Linked DNA regions of Notamacropus eugenii. The protein of the gene in region 2 purifies or fractionates together with the protein of the main gene of each other region. This does not show direct contact. Links are inferred from orthologs where the notes say so. Each region holds a gene or a part of one and is shown on either strand. Other genes may lie near its edges.

Region 1 (11,816 bases), on a different chromosome or scaffold from region 2:
CCAGTCCATCCCCATCAGAGCCCATCCAGAAGATGTGGTCAGCTCTGGGCACATTTGAGAAAGCTGGCATATGCCCAAAGAAGACAGCAGTGAAAGAACTTAGGTGGCTAGGACCAGTGTCTTAGACTATGTGAAGGCTAATATTGAGGAGGATAGTTTGACCTCTGCTGCCTAGTCTCAGAGGAGCGGGAACAATGGGGAGAAATCAAGGAGGCATATTTAGGTTTCTTTCAATGATGTAAAGAAAGGCAGTTACTAACCATCCAAGAGCAGCGTGGGCTGCCCAGAGAGGAAACTAGTTGGCTCTAAGAAGAGCCTCAGGGGGTCTGGAAGCACAGGTCTTGTGCCCACTTCTCAGCTGTGTCCTAGTGTGGCTTCTTGCTCAACAGTGGAAGGCTTGGCCCAGGTGGCCTCAAAGAACCCTTTTAATCCAGATTTGGGGATTTCACAAACAAACCAGTGAGGTCATCGTGCCTGGTTTATCTTCGTGGGACAGATGAGAAAGAGTTAGACTTGAGAGACTGCATGTACATGACTTGCCCTTAGTACAACATTGTCAAAACTAACCACCTTGAAAGCCTTAGGGACTCTGATCCAGTGGCCACCACCATTCTAGGAAACTAATGATGATGCATATTACCCCCCTGCTGACAATGGAGACTTTGGAAATATGAGCAGTGTGAGAATTTGTTTGGTAAACTGTGCATGTTTGTTACAAGGGTTTGGTCTTTCTCTTTTGGGGAAGCGGGGGGAGTTAAAATAAATAAATGCTTGTTCATTGAAAAAAGCTTTTTGAAGAAAATTGCCTGTTCATATATATCCATCAGAGTGTCTCTGATTCTTGTAAATTTGAATTTGGATGTGAAAACTATCAGAGAAACTGTAAAGAGTTTTTCCCTAGTTAACTTTCCCTTCTGGTTTTACTGTATTTTGTTGCGCAAAACCTTTTTTACATGATCAGAATTGTGCAGTTTAACTCTGTGAGACTCCTGTTTTGGTCATAAAGGCTGATGCCTCACCCTCTACAAAAGGTAGCTTTCTTACCCCTCCAAGTAGTTTATGATGTAACCTTTTATGTCTCTCTTGTATCTTTTTGAAGTTTATCTTGACATGTGACTCGAGGCATTTTCTACCCCTCATTCCAACCAGATTGCTGACTAGTTTTTCCAGCAGGTCTTATCGAATCATGTGTCCTTGGAGCCTTTGGGTCCATCCAACGCTGTTAATATGTTCATTTGCTTCCGCACATTGTGTACCTAGTGTACCGATCCTCAGAGTTGAGGTTAATTTTGATCATTGATGCATTGTAGCATAGTTTGAGATCTGAGGCTTCCTTCCCCCCCACCCCCATTTTCCATTGTTTCTTAAGAGATTCATTTTCGTTATTTCTATTAGCTCTTTTAAAATAATCTTTTTGAAAGTATCCATGGCACTGAATTTTTCTCTAGTTGTTGGGTCTGTTATTTTTTCTATAAATGTTTGTAGTTTTGGTCATACAGTTCCTTTGTGGATCTTGGTAGGCAGACACAAATATTTTATGTATTCTATATATTCCATATTCATATATATTCATAATGTATTCTATATTTTGAATAGAATTTCTCTTTCTCTTCCTGCAGGATTTTGTTGGTAATTGACAGAAATACTGATGATTTATGTGGATTTATTTTCTATTCAACTTTGCTGAAGTTATTATTTTAGCTTAGTTGACTTTTTGGGGTTCCATCATATCATCTGCAAAAAGCGATCATTTTGTTTTCTCTTTGTCTATGCTTAATTCCTCGACTTTCTTTTCTTGTTTTATGGTTCTAGATCATTTTCATGTTATTATGTTAAATAATAGAAGTGTTGATGAACATCTCCGGCTCAATCTTGGTCTCATTGGAAAGGCCTCCAGCCTTTCTCCTTTACATGGAGTTTTAGATAGGTACTACTTAGGCAGCTGGGTGGCAGAGTGGGTGGATGTTGGACTGAAAGTCAAGAAGATCCAGGTTCAAATTTGCCTCATCTATATTATCTGTGTGGCCCAGGGAAAATCACTTAACTTTAATCTGCCTCCATTTCCTCCTCTGTAAAATGGGGATAATGATAACACCCAGTGAGATATTTGTAAAGCATTTTGCCAACCTTAAAGCACTATATGAATGTGTATTCTTATTATTGTGGCCAGAATATTTTTTTCTGATGCTCTACTTGGACTTTAGAAGTTAACTCTTATAGGGTTACTTCTTGGCACACCTCTTAGTACATAACTTTTTTCACTATTATCAGGATTGTTTTCTATCTCAGTTTTTGGATTGGGCTTTTTATGCTTGGGTCAGCCTCTGCCCTCTTCAGTTCTCTTAGCTAAGATGGAATTCTTGGCTTTTGTCAGTCTCTTAGTGGTACAGCTTAGGTTTGGGCCTTGGCACCTTCTCTGAACCCACAGTAGCCTTTGTCCCTAGCTATGAATTGAACAGGCCCAACCTCAATGATGTTCGTACTGGTAGCAGGACTCCTGCTTGATACCTGGTGCTTTGCTTCCCAGATAGCCCCGCTCTTTCTTCTCTTGGTCCACGCTACTTATTTATATGCTGTGCTTTCAATCTATCCTGGATGGAGGGAGTATATAGATTTTTGTGTATTTTCTTTTATCATTGTTCCCTTTTTTAAGGGCTTTATTGGGGACTCCTCTTCTAGGCCCTAAGTGGCCACTGTCTTCACACATATTCTTTGAACAAGAGGGTGGGGCCAGTGGGAGTTAGAACTATGACTTGGGAGTTTTGAAGCCTGGGTCCAAGCTTCAGCTCCATTCTCAGCTTGTGTGTGTGAGTGAGCTTGATTAAATTCTTGCCTACACATTGAGAACCATAGGAAACCTTCAATCTCAGTGGCACTGAGCACTTTGGGAATAGTCTATGTGGTAGAGATTCCCTTTGACAACCAAGGATGGTAAAGCTGAGCAGCCCTTTCTTTCCTCTGTTTTCCTAGGCTTGCGCTGACATATGAAAACCTCTTTGGCCCACTTCTGACAATCAAGTAAGTGCTGGGGTGGCAGGGGGGTGGGGAGGAGGTTAAAGGGGTTGGTGAAGAAAGCTTTGGGCAGTCTTTGGAGTTTCCACTGATCATCTGACTTTCTCTCCCAGGTTTATTCTGAGCAGCCATTTCTACCCTGTTTCAGCCCGAAGCTGGTTCATCATGGATCGACTAGAGATCCACAACAACAACTCGGTTGTGGTCTTCAATTCCTCACATGTCACAGCACCTAGCATCTATTCCTTTCACTGCCAGTATGTTAGCACTGAACGTTCAAAAGCAGGTCTCCTAATATCTTCACCTGGTTCCTCTGCCTGGCATGTGACTTTCCAGAATTTCCAGGTAGGATGAAAGGAGCACAGGAGGTGGGGAGTACATGTTCTGTTTCGGTGAGGGAGGAATTACTAACATTCCCAGTTGAAGAAAGCCCCCAGAGGGGAAGGAATCAAGGGCACAAATAGAAGGATTGGCTTTGGTGAGAAGGGCCGTGTTTTCATCACAGACTGGGCCAAGGGGAGGGAGATTAGGGAGGGTGATGAGGGGATTTGAGTATGTGTGGAATTAAGGAGTATAAGGAAGTTCACAATGGATGGCATCGATTTTCACTTTAAAAATGATGCATGAGGTGCTCTGCTAAGGGATGAAAGATGGAGAAAATGGTGGAAGTGAGTCAGTTTAGGGAGAATCAAAGGAGTGCTGTTTGGTAGGGAGAACTCAACTGAAATTCAAGAACGTGAAACTGAAGTAAACTCAGCCCTGTTAGGATTGGAGAGAGTAGATGGGGGTGGGATGGAAGAGTGAGATTAATCTAGGGTTGGAATTTGGAAAGTCATGATAGTGATAGGACAAGGAAGGGGTAAGAGATTTGAGGGCAGAGAGGAACACAGTTAAATTGAATAAATGAGGGAAGAAGGTGAGACCAGAACAGAGGTAGATGGTGATGCGGTGAGAAAGCCGGAAGAAATGGAATGCCCTGAAATCAAGTTGAAGATGAAGGCTAGATAAAGGGAGGGGTTGTAAGTAAGGTACAAGAAGAGGAGCTTGTAGGCTGAGAGGAATTTGAGTCCTAGATCATTAAATAGAACATTTAGGAATGAGAGAGAGAGGTGTGTGTGTAGTACAAGTTATCACGGAAGCTAATGTCGCATGAAGACTTTAAGCTTATAAAATCAGAGTTTAGGGTGGAGAGGAAGGCTGAACTCTAGGAAAGAAGAGGGAGGTATAGAGTTAGGGTGGTGTAGCTTCATGGAGAACCTCAAAGAGAGACAGATTGGTAAATGATGGCCACAGTGGGACAGAATTTAGCTGAGCAAGGAGTGTTCATACGTTTCTTCCTGACTATCCATCAAATAGCCTAATTAAGATACTCAGGGATATTAAAAACCTCTCCAGTTCTTGGGTCTACCCACCTTCCTACCTACTCCAGAAACATTCTGCTGGACCCTGGCTCTGGTGGGTGGGATAGGAGAGGAGAGGGCGATTTCCCCTGCACAATTCCTTTTGGATTTCATAGACCAGACCAAACCAGTGTTTGGTTTCTTGTCTTAATTTTCTTTCTTCCTTTTCAGATTCAGGCCTTTAACTTATCTGGTGGAAACTTCTCCTATGCCAGTGACTGTGCCAGCTTCTTCTCCCCTGGCATCTGGATGGGGCTAGTCTCCTCTCTCATCATGCTTTTCATCTTCACCTACGGTCTGCACATGATCCTCAACCTCAAGACCATGGATCGCTTTGATGATCACAAGGGGAGCACTCTCTCTGTGCCCCTGATGGAGTGACCCCTTTAGTCACATGGGGGGGCCAGAAGGGTTGGAGGTGGAGTTTTGTGTTGACTTTGCCTCCTCCCCTTGGAAGGGCTGCCAGGCTACTACTCATTTGTGCTTCCTTAGTAGCTAGGCCTCCCTACCCCTATTTCCTCTTGCTCCACCCCCAATTATCCCAGAACCTGTGGTTACCCTACCCTGTCCGTGGAAACAAAAAAGTGTCTGCCTCTGACAAATACCCTCAGTGAAAACCTTGTAGGCAGTGCACCAATGGAGGGGGTGGGGGGGTGGGGAAGGAGTATCCAGGCCACTTTCCTTCCTGCTGGCTTCCAATCCTTATTTATTCTCCCTAAATCCCTGCCCTCAGGTCTAGCTGCTTCATTGTGTGAGATGTATTCTGGGGATTAGTCAAAATGTAGTCCGGAGGTTGGAAGGTAACTCCAAGTGGGGTGGGGGTGTGAACTTGAGACTTGTTACATTGTCTTGTTTGCTTCTTGTTTTGTCTTTTTCTTTTTTGGTGATGCTAAAGTTGGATGTGATAAGAAATTGAAATAAAATTTTAACTAAGCCTCCAAGACAGTGTGGTCATTTTGTATTAAGCAGGGCTTTGCTTTAAAAGGACAGAGATCAGGGAGTTCACCAGTGGTTATGTGTGGATTTCTTCCTCCTCTCCCTCTATCCACATAGGGTATCAGCCTTTTCTGCAGGTACTCTGCCCAAAGGAATATAAATTTTGATAGCTGAAACTAGCAAGATACCTTGGGGTTTGTGGGCTAGATTTCTTTTTTTATGGACCATACCTTAAACCCAAATCACTTTGGTTCTCATTAATTGGCCAACAATAGGTCCCAGCCCAAGCCTCTTTTGGTCATTGGGCTTTGATGCAGTGTATATAGTAATTGTTTCTGTTTTGGCCAGAAACCGTGAAGCTCTTCCCTTCCCTGAGTGATTTTTGGTTTGGTTTGGTTTTGACTAAGTGAAAGAGGCCATTCTTGGCCTCATTTGTTACCTAGCCTTAATCACTAAATGAGTGTTACCTCAGTCAAACTTCGACCTGGGAAAGGCCTTAGCTTCAAAAGGCCAAAGTCTCCCACTGTGTCTCCAGCCCTGATTTATACCTTGCCACTCTACCCAGATGGCTATGGAGGAGATTGAGGCTAGTGACTTTGTACAGCCCTCCCACACTTAAATCCAAGTCATGACATCACCTTCCTGATGTCATGGTCCCCTTTGAGAACGAAGGACAAACAAAGAAGGGAACTCATGGTGGGGAGAGGGTGTGGGCTTGAAACTTGATTATTTTGTCTTCTAGTTTTTTGGTGGGGCTAAAATTGGATGTGAAAAGAAATTGAAATAACATGTTAACTAAGCCTCCATGACAGCTTTGCTTCAAGAGGACAGATCATTTGGCCTAGGCATTGCTGAGGAAGTCACCAGTGTGTTATCCCTTGTTGTTCAGTGTCTGACTTTTCACCATCCCATTTGGGGTTTTCTTGGCAAAGATATTGGATTGGTTTGCCATTTCCTTCTCCAGCTCATTGTATAGATGAAGAACTGAAGCAAACAGTGACTTGCCCAGGGTCACACCACCAGTATCTGAGACTGGATTTGACATCAGGAAGATATATTTCTGTTTCCAAGCTCAGTGCTCTATCCATTGCACCACTTAGTTGCCCACAGGTTACAGGAGTGGAGGCAAAACAAGGGTTCTTCACCTGGGGTCATTGATACAATTCTGGAAGCCTTTTAAAATTGGATGGGATAAAAACAATTATATTTATTAGCTATAATGGGTTTCTTTTGTAATATTTTGTGCATTTCAAACCATGATTCCGAGGATTCCAGATGCAAAGATAGAGAACCTGTGCCACCTCTCCCATTCCTGGGAAGAGAGGCAGGGCAAATAGTTCATTGATGGGGTTTGGGCATGAAGATTGGGGGTGTTAGGGAGGCTGAAAGGAGAATTTCTTGGCCCTTCAAAGCTCCCTTTGGCTGGTAGGTCTGCAGCCTAGATTTGCCCCTTAGGGATTTGAGGGGACAGGATGGGAAAAGACAAAGCTGAGTCATGGGAGGAGGGTGCGGGGTGCTGGAGATAGCGGCTATAACCTCTCCTGCAGAAGACTGAGGCTTCTGTGAATATGCCCCACCCAGGCCTGGAGCAGCCTCCCCTCCCCCGCCTGGCACCTGCGCCCCCAAGAGATTCGCGCCCCCCATCTGCATGCTGTGATGGGGACAAGGGCGCTTTCCTTGACCCTACTCTTGACAGCCTGTTAGAGGCGGGGTCTTCTCCCCCGAGGCGTTCCCTCATTTTCATCTCCCCCCCTCCCCCCCTCCCCAGCGCAGTTCCTTCTCTCGGGTTCTCCCTCCTGGGGACAGCCCCTCCCCACAGCATCTCCGTGGGTAGGAAGATGCGGGCAGAAGATGCGGGAAGGGGTGCGGATGGATCCCTCTCTTGGTCTCCTCACGGGCCTCTGTCCCTCCCCTCCCCCTCCCTCTCAATGAAGGAATTCCCACAGTCGAGGCAGGCACATCGTAGCCCCTTGCCCCAGCATTCTGCAAGTCTCTCGGCCACGTTCGTAGTCGGGCGTGGTCCACGGGGTGACAGGGCGGCGTCGGCAGCGCGGAAGAGTCGGGACTCTTTGGCACAGCGGAGGGAGCTGGAGGAAAGGCGGTGCTGAGTCCGCCATCTTTGGTCCATTTCAGCGGCGGCGGTGGCAGCAGCAGCAGCAGCGGCAGCAGCGGCGTCGGCGAAGCCGGAAAGCGGAGACCAGCCGAGGCCTTCGAGCAGAACCATGGACGAGGAGTACGACGTGATCGTGCTGGGCACGGGCCTCACGGTGAGTAGGGACCGACAGGAACCCCGACGAGAATGCAGCACCCCGCCCCCCCAACCTAAAAGGTTCCCCCCTTCTTCCCCTCCCCCCACCTTTTCAACCCATCCCCATCATGACCTTTCTTCCCCTCTGTGTGTGGCCCCAGTGGCGTGGGATCCCAATATGCCTTCCTTTCAGTCTCCTCCCAATCAGGGCTACCCTCTTTAACGCCAACCCTAAGATTCACAGATAGTCCTCCCCGTTTTCTTGGAGCCCTACCCACAGGACCACAGAGTATCCATACCCCATCACCACAATCCCCAAGATGATAAGGGTATATCAAACCCTCTGGACGGTAGTATCCTAACCACAGGATAGGGGACTGAAATAATCCTTTCCCTTCCTCTGGGTGGGGGTGAGAGACAGGACAGGCATGGTGTGCTCATTAACCCTGTAATGGATAAACGCATCTGACGTGTAATAGTTGTGTGACCCTGGTTAGTCATTTTCCTCGGCCTTCTATTCATTATTTTCCTCCTTCTTCGGTATTTTCCCCATCTGTAAAATTAGTACCTCCCAGCTCTAGATCTAGTCACATACAAGATGGTGGCCTGAAGGCATGGGCAGGGTTGCTGTGTCCCTACCACATAAAGATGCGCTGATCTTGTGGGAGATTACTTGAGAGTGGGAGAAATGGAGTTCTCCGTGTGCCTCAAGACCAGGAAGAGAAGGCCTAGGGTAGGGCCCTTGCGATACGGCGTTTCTCTGCTTCCAATTGCACCTGTGCTCTGTGTAGCTGTGTTTGTCGACATTCTTATTGCTTCCTGGAATAGGATGTCAGGGTCAGGAAAAGGGGGAGTTGTTTCTCCACTGCTTGCCTTCACTTTGGAGCCCAAATGGCCTTCCCCTTAATAGCTGCGCCATGAAGAGTTTAGCAGAAGGATGGAAACCTACCTCTCCAACCTTTTGTGTGTCTGGTTGGGAGAAGGGGAGGGGCTCTCTTCCGCCTCTCCTCCCCTTCAGTCTTAAGGTAAAGGAATCTGCTGAGATTTCTATTCTGGTTTGGGGAGAGGGTCTATTCACATTCTTTTTCCTGTCTTCCTTGCCGGTCTTCCCCTCCAGGAATGTATTCTCTCTGGCATCATGTCTGTGAACGGGAAGAAAGTGTTGCACATGGATCGCAATCCTTACTATGGGGGTGAAAGCTCCTCTATCACACCCCTGGAAGAGGTGAGGTGACCTGCTCCATTTTTCCCAGGCTCCATTGTCCTTTATAGTCTGACTTCCACGCCTGATCAGCTCTTGGAAGTCTCTACAGGCAGGTTTTGGAGGTGAGGTCAACATTGATTGAATCCTCCCTTTTCCTCTTCTCTGTCTCTCCCTGCTTGTAGCTGTTCAAACGGTTTGACCTGCCTGAAGGACCTCCTGAAAGCTTGGGCAGGGGTCGAGACTGGAATGTTGACTTGATCCCCAAATTCCTCATGGCCAATGGTGAGTGGGAGGATATAGCTGGTGGTAGGTGATATAGGTAGGATGTGGGGGGGGGGGGGGGCAGAATTTGGGGAAAGGGCTTGAGGACCATCAAGTGAATGGGAAAGGGTTATACATATGGAGATGTCTCTCTTCCTCTCCCCATACTACCCACAGGCCAGTTGGTGAAGATGTTGCTGTACACCGAAGTGACTCGTTACCTAGACTTCAAAGTGGTGGAAGGCAGCTTTGTCTACAAGGGGGGCAAGATCTACAAGGTGCCATCTACTGAGACTGAGGCCTTGGCCTCCAGTGAGTGTCACCATCGTTTTTTATTCCAGTTATCAGGACTGAAGGAGAGAGCGTCACACCTCTGAGACTGGTTTCATGATACTGGTGGGGAAAGTGAATTGTCCAGGACACTGGGGAGAAGCCAGGGGCATATTAGGGAGTCATAGGCAGAGCTTGCCCATTGACACAACTCAGGTTTAGATGTGAATGCTTTCCTGGGCCGTTAAGCCAGCAGTATCAGAAGCACACTGTATACAGAATAAATACAAGGGAATTTAGGGCAGAAGGCTAGCCCTTAGAATTTGGGAGGGATCAGGAAAGGTTATATGTGTGTAAAGGCACAAGGATACAAAAGATGGCCGTGAGGAGACCAGTTTGGAGTTCTCAGCATTGTTAGTTGATTGATGAGGTAAACTGGGGCCAAGCCATATAGGACTTGAAAGCCAAACTTGTATTCTAGAGGCAACGGGGAAGCCATTGCAGTTCGGCAGGGGAATGATATGGTCAGACCTTGCTTAATTAAGATTATCTTGGCCAAGAGACTGAGTAGGAGGCTATCATCTAGATGAGGTGATGAGGGCCTAGACGTGAGAGGGTTATAGGGCTAGAAACAGCAAGTTTAGGCCAGTGATTGGCTTTGTGAGGTAATGAAGAGTGAGAATTGGAGATCATAGTGTCTTTGAAGACTTTGAAGAGGATAGGGGTGCCCTAGACAGAAACAGAAATGACCAAGTAATTCCGGGGAGGGGGGACAGAGGTCTAATAGTTTGTTAACAGTGGAATTGAGGGTTCCAGAGGTCGTGATGAAAGAGGGGAAGAGAGAGATAGGGTTAGAGTTGATTTAATTATCAATACAGGTCCCTGACCCAGCATATATAAGGTTCAAGGCAGGGACTCAGTTTGTCATAGAAGTACTAGGTGTTTGTAAGGCACTCTCTCCTTTGATCCCTAGTCAGGTCAGCTGTGCCCAACATTAGGACTCACTGCAGTGTTGAGTAGACTACCTCCCATGGTAGTGGGGAAGGGGAGGAGTTATAAATTAGGAAACTAAGGCCTGGAAATCACACAGTGACTAGCAGAATAAGACTGGCCCTGGAGCCTTCTGCTTTTTAGCAGTGTTGTTTTTATCTCCACTTCATTCATAGTTTTTGCCCCCTTCTCACTGTGGGGTAAACGGTGGGTGAGTAAAGAAACTCCTTTCTCCCTTAGACCTGATGGGCATGTTCGAGAAACGCCGATTTAGAAAGTTCCTGGTGTTTGTGGCAAACTTCGATGAGAATGACCCCAAGAGCTTTGAGGGTGTTGATCCTCAGACCACAACCATGCGAGATGTGTATAAGAAGTTTGACTTGGGCCAAGATGTTATTGACTTCACTGGCCATGCTCTGGCACTCTACCGAACTGATGAGTAAGAAGATATTCTTCCATTTCCCTTCAGGTCCCTTTCTTGACCTTGAATTGTACTAGCTTAAGGGCCCCCTTCCTTAACTGCCATGTTCTAGCACAGTCCCATAATTTTTTTTTTTGCTTAATGAACAAACTTCCTCTTTCCCTTCTTTCCTTCTCACTTTTAGCTACTTGGACCAGCCCTGTCTCGAGACCATTAACCGCATCAAACTGTATAGCGAGTCTCTGGCCCGGTATGGGAAGAGCCCATACCTGTACCCTCTCTATGGCCTGGGCGAGCTCCCCCAGGGATTTGCAAGGTGAGGGGGGAGGGAAATGCAAGCAAAAGTGGGAGTACAATAGGCATGTGAAGGGAATTATTCTCCAGTTTTGCTGTTGCCCTTCTTATTGTTAGCAGGCCATTTTCCAGCTGAGGAAAACTGAAGCTTTTAGCAAGGTTTGGCAGTAGAGTGATTACCCATCAGAGGAAGTTACCAGCCCTAAGCTGAGGGTGATTTTTCATTGCTGCCTCTTGGCCCTGTTCTCAATAGCCAAAGCCTTGCTTTAGTACTGCTTTGCAGGCTCTTCACATTCCATGATTTCCAGTTTGGAATTTTGTTCATATGGATGAGTGAGAAAGAAGTTAACATAGCCTCGTGAAAATATAGTCCTGTGAAAAACCAAAATGAAACAGAACAGGAATTATTGATTTTTCCCTGTGTTAGTTGGAGAAACTGAGTGGGGATGTGATCAATCCAGTCATGCTCTTGGGGCTGGGGGGAGCTAGGTGGCTTAGTGAATTCAGGCACCAGTCCTGGAGTCAAGAGAACCTGAGTTCAAATCCAGACTTAGACACTTACTAGCTGGGTGACCTTGGGCAAGTCACTTAACCCCAATTGCTTTGCCTTCCCCCTCCAAAAAAGAAAAACAAAATCATACTCTTACTCTGACAACCCAGTCCTCTTGATTAGCCTGGGGGTGGGGGTTTCCTGCTGGGGACAGAGGGGCTCTCATCATTGTACTCCCTCCCCACCTCAGATTGAGTGCCATCTATGGTGGGACATACATGCTGAACAAA
Region 2 (10,964 bases):
GGTTGCTCCTTCACCCTACACAAACAACTACAAAAATTTTGGCATTTAAAAATTCTACCACGTAGATGCTTAAGAAGGTTAAAAGATCTATGGTACTTGGGAACAAACAAAGCAGTACGCTGAATCATAGTGCTTTAGAAAAACAAAGAACCTTAAATAACATCTGGTCCAATCCTACCATCTACAGATGAGGGAAATTGAGGCCCCAAAAGGCTACAAACTCAGCTCAACAGTTGGTTGGTGGCAGGACTGGGACTACACGAACCCACGGATCTTTTATTTGCATTCCTAGAGCTTAGCACAGTGCCTGGCACATAGCAGACCACAAACATGGTATTGAACTGAACTGACATCTAAACACCTTCTTCTCTTTCAACTCAGTGGGAATAATGTTATATAAAAAGAACTCCATAGCTTCAATCTGTCGCCTAAGAAACTGTCATTAAATATACAATCACAAGTCTGCTGTGTTCTCTACACTCAAAGTAAAAATGGTATAGTAAAAAAAGCAATGAAATTGAGACTTGGATTCAAATCCTACCTTTGAAACCTATTACCATGGAGCCTGAGCAAGTCACTACCTTCTCTGAGACCCAGCTTCTTCCTCTACAAAAGGGCTCAACTAGACAGCCTCTAAGGTCCCTTCACAGCTCTAATCCTCCAATTCTTTCTATATAAAAGAGAACCAGAGTAGATAACCATCACATCTAACCTACCCTTGGAGTAGCTACATTTCCCCAGTCCTAGGATAGGGAGAAGAAGTCAACCTGAACAAGTCTTTTTTTTCTAAATTAACCTATTCTCCTCTAGAACAGAAACAACTCAGGCCTTCTTGCATGTGGAAGGAGGTATTATTTGCTAGTTTCAAAGACTAAAGCCTAATAATAACAATAATTATTAACATTTATATAATACCTACTATTTGCCAGGCACTGTGCTAAGTAAGTACTTTAAGATTTCTATCACATTTGATCCTCACAACAACCCTGGGAGGTAGGTTCTATTATGAAGCCTGTTTTACAGATGAAGAAACTGAGGCAAAAAGTGGTTAAATGACTTGCCCAAGGTCAAGGGCAAAGCAATATTTGTGGTTAGATTTGATTTGGGTCTTCCTGACTCCAAACCCAGCAGGAATCTGGACCTGAACCACAACTATCCTGTGTTACTGGGCTACAAGACTTAAAATACATATACTTAAAAATTTGAAATATATAGTCCAAAGCACCCAAACGATTAAAGCCTGAGAGGCACTAGATTTGTTGTTGTTGCTACTGTTGAGTTGTTTCAGTCATGTCTGACTCTTCATGACCCCACTAGGGATTTTCTTGGCAGAGATACTGGAGTGGTTTGCCATTTCCTTCTCCAGCTCATTTTACAGATGGGGAAACTGAGGCAAACAGGGTTAAGTGACTTGCCCATGTCACACAGCTAGTAAGTGTCTGAGGCTGGATTTGAATTCAGGTCTTCCTGACCTCAGCAACCTATCCCACTGCACCACCTAGCTTCCCCTAAGTACTAGATATTACCAGGGCTCAAATCAGTAGGCCCTAACAAACACCATAACCACAAGCATATGTACTGTAATGCCCTAAAAGACTTTGAATTGTAAAGGGAATCCACCACAGGATAGGGTCCATGTTTGCAGAAAATGTAGTCCAGTTTTAATTGATAAGCATATAAGAGATGAGACGGGTTTACTTTGGAGGGAAGAGCTGAAAAAAAATCTATGGTATACTCCATTTTCATACCAATAGATTCAGGATAAAAAGTAACCTACACATTTGCTACATCTCATCAATAAGCAGCAAAGTTGGGAGATCAGGGCAGAACAAAGACCTGCTCTGCCCAGACAGTCACTACCACTTTTAGGTCCCCATGAAGTAGAGTATTCTAGGGTCAGGGTGGCTCAACAATTGCTCGGGATATCAGTAGCAGGCCTAAGGCAAAAGCAAGAGAAAAGGTTCAAAAAGAATCAACAGGTGTGCAGAGTAGAATGTGACTACTAATGATCTGTATCTATGCCAACAGTCACAACCCCTGCTTGCTGAGAAGCAGAAAGGTCTGTGACACAAAAACTGACAAATCTCAAAGCATCTTTGTGGGCCTCTATTTTACTGGGGCTGCAGCAGAAATGCAAACGACAAGTGTTCTCCCCCATGCTCTTGGTTTCCCTCAGAATGAGGGACCATTAGTACCCAAACAGAAATCAACATTGTACTGCTTCTAAAAAAATGCTTACAAGTCACCTTGGGTTGGAGAAAGGTTGCTTTCTTTTCATAACCACCTCATCATCAAAAAGTGCCTAGTAAGTACCAACCTGTTCATGGCACAGCACAGAGATGAAGTGATATAGAGCCTGGTTTCTACACTCTAGGTGCCAATGATCTGAAACAGCATTGCCCTCTCCAGGACTGACAACCCAGACTATTTTGTTGGGATGCCAAAGTAAAACATACTCTGCTGAGCACATATTTCAGGTATTAAAAGCAAGCAAGAGAGTTGGGGGCAGGGGCAGGGATTGATAGGACGGGGTGCTAAGAAATAAGGTTCACAAGGTTGTCCCCACCTACTCAGTTCTGGTTGGGGATAAGAGGAGGCCAATAGGGAAAGGAGAGGACATCTCACTAAAATCCAGTAAGCTACCAAGAACAGACTAGTTGGACTAGGAAAAAAACTTCCCCCCTACTAAACCTGATTCACCAAAGCACACTGTCTTCACTGATTATCAAGCAGTGTGTACACAGGTAGGAGAGACAAAATGGGAAATATAAGCTCCAATTGTTATTTCTGTGTAGGGCTATAAACTAGTCATCAGAAACATGGTAATACATCACAGATCTAAAACAAAAATTCATTTAAAAAAGAGAAACCTATCCAATGGTAGGAGTTAGGCCTCAATAGTTAACGAAAAGTCAACAGAAACCTATGAAACAAAAAGTAACTCTAGTCTTAGAAGGTACTCCTCAAGAAAACTATGGTCACCAAAGATACTGGTTCAAGGTGAGCTAAAGAGTCTGCTGTAACATGGAATAGGTCTCCTCTTAGTCAGATGAAAATATCAAATGTAAGACATGGCCTCAAAGAACCCAGCCAAACAGTCTTTGGCCTCTACTTGGATTCAGGCTATGACCACTCTGCAGCAGCTGATTCACATCCCCAAGTCACCAATAAAAGAGACATAAACTCAATATTCCCCTTGGAAGAGCAGGTTTCTGTTTGGGTTTGGGTAAGAAGTTGTATTCACTGACATAAGTACATGTGTATAAAGTTTCATGAAGATATCAAAACTCTAAAGCTATCCACTCTGAAACCACAAGATGCCTGAACCTGTTGCTTTAGGGTGAAACCTCCAGTCCCAACACCCTTCACCCTCTGGGAGGTCCCTAACTTACTTCCCCTTCCAGGGAAAGCCAACAGACAGCTGTCCTAGGAGGAGCCATCCCTCAGAGGAAGCTTGGAAAACACTCACGTGCTCTTGGAGGAGGGGGCCAACCCAGAAGCAAAGACAGTTGAGATAGTGGACTTATCCACCCTGAAATGTAGCAAACCGCTGGGGATGAAAAGGAAGATATTCATAAAAAGGGGTTATACCGACAGGAAAAGAATATATAAATCCTTTTCATGACAGGAGGAAAAAAGTGAAGAAAGGAGACATCCCCCTCTCACCCCTACCCCTAAGACGGACCCAGGGTTCACAGTCTGGGGAAAGGACAATAAAATAGAGAAGACAGGAAGGGGAAAAGGTAGGACAGAAAAGGGAAGCAACGCAAGGGTCTAGGATCTAGAGAGAGGGAAAAAAAGAAACAGACATGATATAGCGGAATATGCTAATTCTGGCTTCAGGAAGACCTGAGTTCAAATACGACCTCAAGACTCTTACTAGCTGAGTGAACCTGGACAAGTCACTTCACTTCTGACTGCCTCAGTTTTCTAGACTGTAAAATGGGGATGATTACAGCATCTACCTCACAAGGTTGCTGTGAGGTTCAAAGAAGACAATGTCCGTAAATCGCTTGGCACAGCGCCTGGCACATAGTAGGTGTGATTAATAAATACTTCTTTCTCCGCCTCCCCCCCATGTCAGTGGCAGGGAAAAGTGGCTGAGGAGGTCTCAGTCACAGGGGAAAAAAAATCACAACTGGAGCCAGCTCTCCCGGGCCAGGACAGGTAGAAGCGCACGGTTTCCGGGGGGCGGGGAAGAAGGGGAACGCCCCCCACAGCTGGAGGAGGGGAGGGGCGCAGCAGCCGCAGCCCCGCAGGCGACACCCCCAAGATCAGGGACCGGTCACGACCTGGGCCTCAAGGCCAGGGGCGGCAGGACGGCCCTGGGTCGCCCGGGTCGCTAGGAAGGGGGAGGAAGAGGGGCTCGCCGAGGCCTGAAATGCGCAGGGCAGGACGCGCCGCGGGACGCGGGCCCCCTCGGGCTGGGAGTAGACAGAGGAGACCCCCCCCAACCCCGTCCGACTACGGGTCGGGGGAGGGGTCAGACGCCGGGACCCTGGGAGGGGCCAGTGTCCCCTCAACTGGGGTCGGGCGGAGAGGAGGGAAGAGGGATAAAGGGGGGAAGGGCGAGGCCTGGCAGGGTGGAGGCGCGGGCGGGAGCCCACGGAGGTCCCGGGACAGGCTTACTCACTGAGGCTCTGGGGCGACGGGGCTGCTGGGGCCGGCTCTGCGGACTGGCTCCGCTCCTCTTCCCCCCCGGCAGTGTCCCAGGCTCCGGCCTCCACTTCCGCCTTTCAGCCGCTCCGGATCCGGATCTTCCTACTTCGCCCCGCCCCTCTCCGGTCCCGGGTGACTGACAGGGACGAGAGACCAATAGGAAAGAGGCTCTCTCGGAACGCCCGCTGAGCCGGCAGGGGGCGATCTCGCGGCGGGAAAAGGGACTTGGGGGCGGGGTGTCCTGGGACTTGTAGTTCGTGGCATTGGGCGGAGAGAAGGAACTTGAGCTCCGGAATTGGGGTGGAGCGGGCTGCAGACTAGGCGGGGCCCGCCGATCCTGACGCTTCAAAGGGCCTGGGGACCTGGGGAGACGAAGAGTAGCTTGAATCCGGGCTAGGAGGGGCGCATTGTAATTAGTGGGAGATAAAAGCTGTTTAACCTAGAGAGGTTGTCAGCCCTAATGCATTTCCTAATAGAGCTGCGGGGATTCCGCTCCCCTCTATCTCCCATCACTCCCTTGCAAGTCAATTTAATTCAATTTAACAAACCCCAGACCCCCCCATCCCACTACCCCACTCAGCAAATGCACGCTGCAGTCTCACGCTGAGCTAGAAGGTACCTTCGAAATCAAGTGGACCAATCCCTTTGTGTCTCACAGCTGGAGAAACTGAGGCCAGGCTTGCCCAAGATCACCCAGAGTTAGTGGCAGAGACAACCACTAGCTGGCACCACTAGTGCCAACCACTAATGGCAGAGAAACCTATAAGCTAGGTTTCTTAAATCTCAGGACCAAGGATCATCCCTTTGACACTACAATGTTCTGCAGACCCAAGAGAAAGACTTCAGGATAAGAGTAGGGCGAAAGCTTAATCGTGAGCATGTGGGGGGCATAGAGGGGGCGCTGTAAAAGGGTTGCAGGCTGGTTGAGAGAAGATACTACAAAAAAAAGTGGCTAGAATATACGTCCCAGGAAACCAGGCCAAAAAAGCCAACCTCTGTCTCCTGCCACCCGACGAAAATAATATCCTGGATTTGTTCTGGAATTTCAGATCACCTCACAGACAGGACAGGATGTTGGTCTCAAGGGTACTGCCCTCCTATTGCAGCCTAGAGAGAATTAGTTACTCTGAGACCATCCCACAATTCTACAACTCCTCCCCATCTCTAACACCATCTGGCCACCGAGGCACCCCCGCCCCCATTCCTCCCCAAGATGCAGAGGAAGGTAGAGACACAGGAGTGTGGAGGTGGAGGGTTGGGAGGGGTATAAGTTATAAATATCCAGTATGTGGGTGGGAGTGGGGAAGAATGGGAGACACAGAAGATCCTAGGCAGATGACACATGCTCCTTCTCGGATACAGCTGAATTTCAATGCTGGGGACAATGAGAATGGGATGTGAATTTTTCAAGAGAAAGGGGAATGATTCCATCTGACAAAGACCCCTTTCTATTCCCCCCTCTGTCTGTTGGAGTGGGGGGAACAGGGCTTTGTCTCTCCCAAGTGCTATTTAGGGGGAGGTAAGTTAGATGCTATAATGAGTCCCAGGAGCACTTGTTAAGGATTCCCCACCCCTGTTCCCTGGGGCCACTGTTGTCATGAATGTTGTGCCAGGCAGGTCGGCGCCTTTGCTCCTCCTAGAGATGGCAACAGGGACCCTGGGGTGCAGTGCAGAGAGGGCCTTTGCAGTCACCTGCTTGTTTTGCCTCCTCTGAGCCTTAGGAGCTTCCCAATACATCCCAAGAAACAGACAGGTCCAACAACTACAAAAATAAAGAAAATTTTATTTCCCCTATGAGAGCCAGAGAGAGGAAAAGGAAGGTTCTCTAGAGGAGAATAGGGGGTGAGAGGGATATGGCCCAATGCTCAGGGAGCAGGAATGGTTCATGTGGAGAGGGGACCCTGAGTATGAGACAGAACAGAAAGGGAGGTAGATGGGCTAAGTCACAGCCAGGGAACTGGGGTAAGAGGTCAGGGCTGGAGAATTTGGAAAGGGTGGTTCCTGGGAATATCTGAAGGGTCATCCACAGCCAGACTGGTCACCTTGAGCTGGAACCTAGAGACATAAAGCACACATACATACAAAGAAAGCTAAAGATGTGCTTGGAGATACAGGGAAAGGTATTAGTGGACACTACTTTTGCCTCCCTTTTCCCCATCCCCCCAAACACTACTCCATTCCAGGATTGGGTCAGTTTGAGGGAATAGAGCCTGGAGTTGTACTAATATTACTGAGCAGTGATAACTGGGCTGGACTTTGTAGTCAAAAGACCTGAATTTGAATTCTGGCTCTGATACTTTATAGCTGGGTGACCACAAACTAGTCAGTCTTGTCTCTGAATCTTTCTTCATTTTCGAAAGAGGGGAGATAATACTACCTACTTCTCAGAGAGTGGTGAGAAAAGTTGTAACTCTTAAAGCAGGAAGCAAATGGGAGCCAAAGAGTATACACTCAGCCCCCCTGGGGGCTTCCCTCACTCTCTCATCCCTCAGATGGGTACAGTTTTTGTCCCTAAAGTATCTCTATCTTGATCCCTAAATGGACAGGGTGGTATATTGTATGGAACATCAGATTTAAAAGTCAGGAAGACTAAGTTTTGAATCCTATCTCAGACACTTAATAGCTTGGCCAAACCTCAGTTTCCCCAAGTATAAAATGAGGGAGTTGGAATTAGTGACCTCAAAAATCCCTTCTAGCTCTAAATCTATAATCTCATGAATCTTCCCAGCCTAGGCTGTATGATGCCTAAAGAATTTATGTGCTTGGAGATCTCTCATCATGACTGAAGTCTTCAGATCTCCTGCTTTCCCCAGCTCAAAGGGTGAAGGCAGAAGGGAGTTTCTCATCCTCACCAAGTGATCTCAAGAGAAAAATCTCATTTCCCTCCCTCCCTGTTTCAGCCATTCCTAACCCCCTGGGCAGGAAGTCCTTCCTGCAATCTAACTTTTCATACCCGTTACAGTTTCAGCAAGAGACCAAAACCACTTAGGTCCTTATTGCCTGTCCATTAGATGGGCTCAACTATGCCTTTGGAGACTCCCAGCCCAAGACTTAGTGTTTCCTTCTTTCCTCAAACTTCACTTCCCCAGGCAGGAAAACCTCTAGGACCTCTCACTTCTGTCCCTGGAGTCTTCTCCATTTAAGCTAGCCTTGTTCACTCACCATTCCCTGCCACCTCCACCCTCCCACCACTCTTCCTTACCTGCTTTCAGGTCACCTGGGAGAAGGGCACATCCTCTGCCCAGTCTGACGCAGGCACAACTCCTTGTCTCATGCCCACTGGGCACAGTTGGCTCAGATGGCTCCACCAGGAGTACAGGGGCAGGAGGGAAAGGATGAAAGAGGGAGTGGGGTCAGGGTTCACCACCATTTGTCACACCTCTGAAGGAGGTCCTATGATGACCAGTCCAGCCAGTGGCTTTTGACTATGTAGTAGGCAGGCAAGACACCCAAACCCTCCCAGGGGGGTGGCCCAAGCCCCCACTGGATAGGCCTGGGCCCTAAAACCATGGTCAGTGGAAAGTGTCTGAACTGGAGTGGAAGTGGTATTGGTTGGTGCTCTGGAGTGGAGCTGAACCGTTGGGGAAGACAGAGCCAGCAGGTGGAGATGGAACTTCCAGCCCAGATGATGGTCCTAGGAGGGCAGGCCGAGAGCCAGGGCTAGAAGGGCGTATCTGCAGGGGGCAGAGGGTTGGTGTCGCAGATCTGGAGCCCTGGGGAGAGGTTCCCATTTCTGATTCCCTCAGTCCAGCTGGGGGAGAACTTTGGGGACAGTGGACCTCAGCATATGTGGTATCTTGAGTCCCAGGGCATGGCTCAGTCAACAATGGAGAAACACAAAGAGGTCTTGGTGGTGGACATGGAGGAGTAGAAGGCCCAGGGGGAACAGGAAAGTCTGTGAAGGGTGCCCGGGTTGCCAACCAGGCTTGAAGCAAGTGCATCATGTGGCGAAGTTCCCTGCTGAGCTGAGATACTTCCTGGTTGAGATGGGTGATCTGCAGAAAATATAATTATTACTTCTAGGCCTCTACTAAAATCCTCTTATGTTCTTCTATTGAACTCACCTTAAATTCTACAAGGCTATGCTCATTTGGAATCATGCAAAGCAAATAACTAAAATTCCCATACCTTTTGACCCAGAGACCCTACCACCAGGCATATACCCCTAAGAAGGTCAATGATAAAAAAAGAAAGTCTACTTCCACAGTCAAATATTTACTGTATCAATTTTTTGAAGTAGCAAAGAATTGGAAACAATGTAGATTCCCACGAACGGGGAATGGCTAAGCAAGTTGTGGTACATGATGGAATATTCTTGTTTTGAAAGAAACCATGAATGTGATGAGTTCAGAGAAGTGTGAAAACATACAAATGGAGGCAAGGTGAAGTAAAACACACAATCACCACAACAATGCACAGAGGGAAGAATGACAATAACCAAATAAACAAAATTGGATGTGGCCAAATTGTCATGTCCAAGCATGGCCTCAAGGAACAGGACTGGAAGGCATTCTGCCCCCTCCCCACCCTCTACCCTCTCCAGACTTCTTTGCAGAAGGTTTGGAACCCACCACATATAAAGCCCGACTTTTTTTTAATACATTGCCTATGTTTTGCTGAACTGTTTTCTCCCCCCGCCCTTTTTTATTGTCTGTTATAAAGGATGGCTCTCTGAGAAGGGGAGGGATACCTGAGGAAATGTAGACAGTATGAAAATCAAAGGTGCACAAATTTCCTTATCAACTGACTAATTAATCAACTAACTAATTAATGCCAGCACAAGTTGATAAGAAAATTCATGCAACAATATATATAAAATAAACCTTTTTAAAGAATGTCTGTGCTTTCAGATCACCAAAACTTCCCAAGATGGCAAGGCTTTGGGCATTGGCCCAGTGATGAATGGTGGGTCCATGGTTTGAGGACCAGTCTACATAAATGAAAAGTTGACCACAGGTATTCATTTGTTTGCTTCCTTGTTTTCCTAGCCACAGCAATTTATGAAAACCTATCTATCACTGGGAAAACACACACACCACTGAAACCGTGGAACCCTGAAGAAAAACTTCTAGGGAAATGTTGGTTTTCCTGGCTGTGGAGGACAGGATAGCATCAGAGATGGCACATGGTGGTGTTTTAGGGGAATGAAAGGTGGCTATGGTTAATGACAAAGCATGAGCGTATACTGTTGCAATGTTAGAGGCACAGAGGTAATGCAGAGGCTTGAAAATAGACTAAGAAGTATTATGGTATGATGGTATGGTATGGTATGATGAAGGTATGGGGGGGAGATAGGTCCTCAATTTAGATATAAATGGACTTGGAGTCAGAAAGTTGGTAAGGGCATAACTCAGTGGATAGAGCACCAGCCCTGGAGTCAGGAGGACCTAAGTTCAAATCCAGCCTCAGACACTTGACATTTAGTAGCTGTATGACCTTGGGCAACTCACTTAACCCTGATTGCTTTGCAAAAAAAGAAAGAAAATCCTGAGTTGAAATCCTGTCTCATGCTAGCTGTGCAACCCTGAGTAAGTCATTTAACTTCTCTCAGCCTCAGTTTCCTCATCTGTAAAATAGAGACAATAATATCACCTACCTCCCAGGGTTTTGGGGAGGCTCAAATAAGATTACAGCTCTTCACAAACCTTAAAGTGCTATATAACTACCCGCTACTACTTCTACTACTACTACCTAGATCCTAGATCTAATAGTAATAATAGTAGTAGTAGTATAATAATACTATTACTGTCCTATATACATAACATATTACATATAATGCATAATATATATAATAATACTACTATTACAGTACTACTACTGTTATTATTATTATTGTTATTCTTATTGTCAAATCCTAGCTCTAATGTTTACTGCTTCTGAGACCTTGGGTAGGTCACAAACTCTCTGGACCTTCCTATGCTCATCTGTAAAATGAATGGGTTGGACTAGATGACCTCAAAAGTCATATGCAGTACTAACCATGTTACTCCTCCCTTGCATTTAATATACTCCAGTATCTCTCTAGAGCAGCTAGCTGGCACAGTGGATAAAGCGTTGGCCCTGGAGTCAGAAGGACCTGAGTTCAAATCGAGCCTCAGACATGTACTAGCTATGTGACCCTGAGCAAGTCATTTAACTCCGTTTGCCTCATCTTCCTCATCTGTAAAATAAGCTAGAGAAGGAAATGGCAAACCACTCTGGTATCTTTGCCAAGAAAACCCTAAATCAGGTCACCAAGAATCAGACATGGTGGAAACAACTCAACACCAAGGAGTATTTCTCTAACACTTTCAGGATCAAATATA

What was found.
Region 1: the proteins of RAB5C (region 2) and GDI1 purify together in Homo sapiens (affinity purification with mass spectrometry; 3 studies listed by BioGRID and IntAct, counting the BioPlex papers as one, with this or other methods). This does not show direct contact. The link is inferred for Notamacropus eugenii from reciprocal best matches to the Homo sapiens genes RAB5C and GDI1.

Annotation. Positions count from the first base shown.
Region 1 is NC_092879.1:9,966,449-9,978,264, forward strand, and holds the start of GDI1 (rab GDP dissociation inhibitor alpha), read left to right. Parts: upstream 1-7,467; 5' UTR 7,468-7,570; coding exon 7,571-7,615; intron 7,616-8,713; coding exon 8,714-8,821; intron 8,822-8,982; coding exon 8,983-9,082; intron 9,083-9,238; coding exon 9,239-9,373; intron 9,374-10,561; coding exon 10,562-10,760; intron 10,761-10,926; coding exon 10,927-11,058; intron 11,059-11,776; coding exon 11,777-11,816. Other genes in the region: ATP6AP1 (V-type proton ATPase subunit S1), read left to right, coding at 2,971-3,018, 3,126-3,357, 4,584-4,793. UniProt on the Homo sapiens protein: Regulates the GDP/GTP exchange reaction of most Rab proteins by inhibiting the dissociation of GDP from them, and the subsequent binding of GTP to them. Promotes the dissociation of GDP-bound Rab proteins from the membrane and inhibits their activation.
Region 2 is NC_092873.1:358,665,073-358,676,036, forward strand, and holds the start of RAB5C (ras-related protein Rab-5C), read right to left. Parts: upstream 4,883-10,964; 5' UTR 4,634-4,882; intron 3,546-4,633; exon of another isoform or gene 3,470-3,545; intron 1-3,469. Other genes in the region: voltage-gated delayed rectifier potassium channel KCNH4, read right to left, coding at 8,172-8,654. UniProt on the Homo sapiens protein: The small GTPases Rab are key regulators of intracellular membrane trafficking, from the formation of transport vesicles to their fusion with membranes.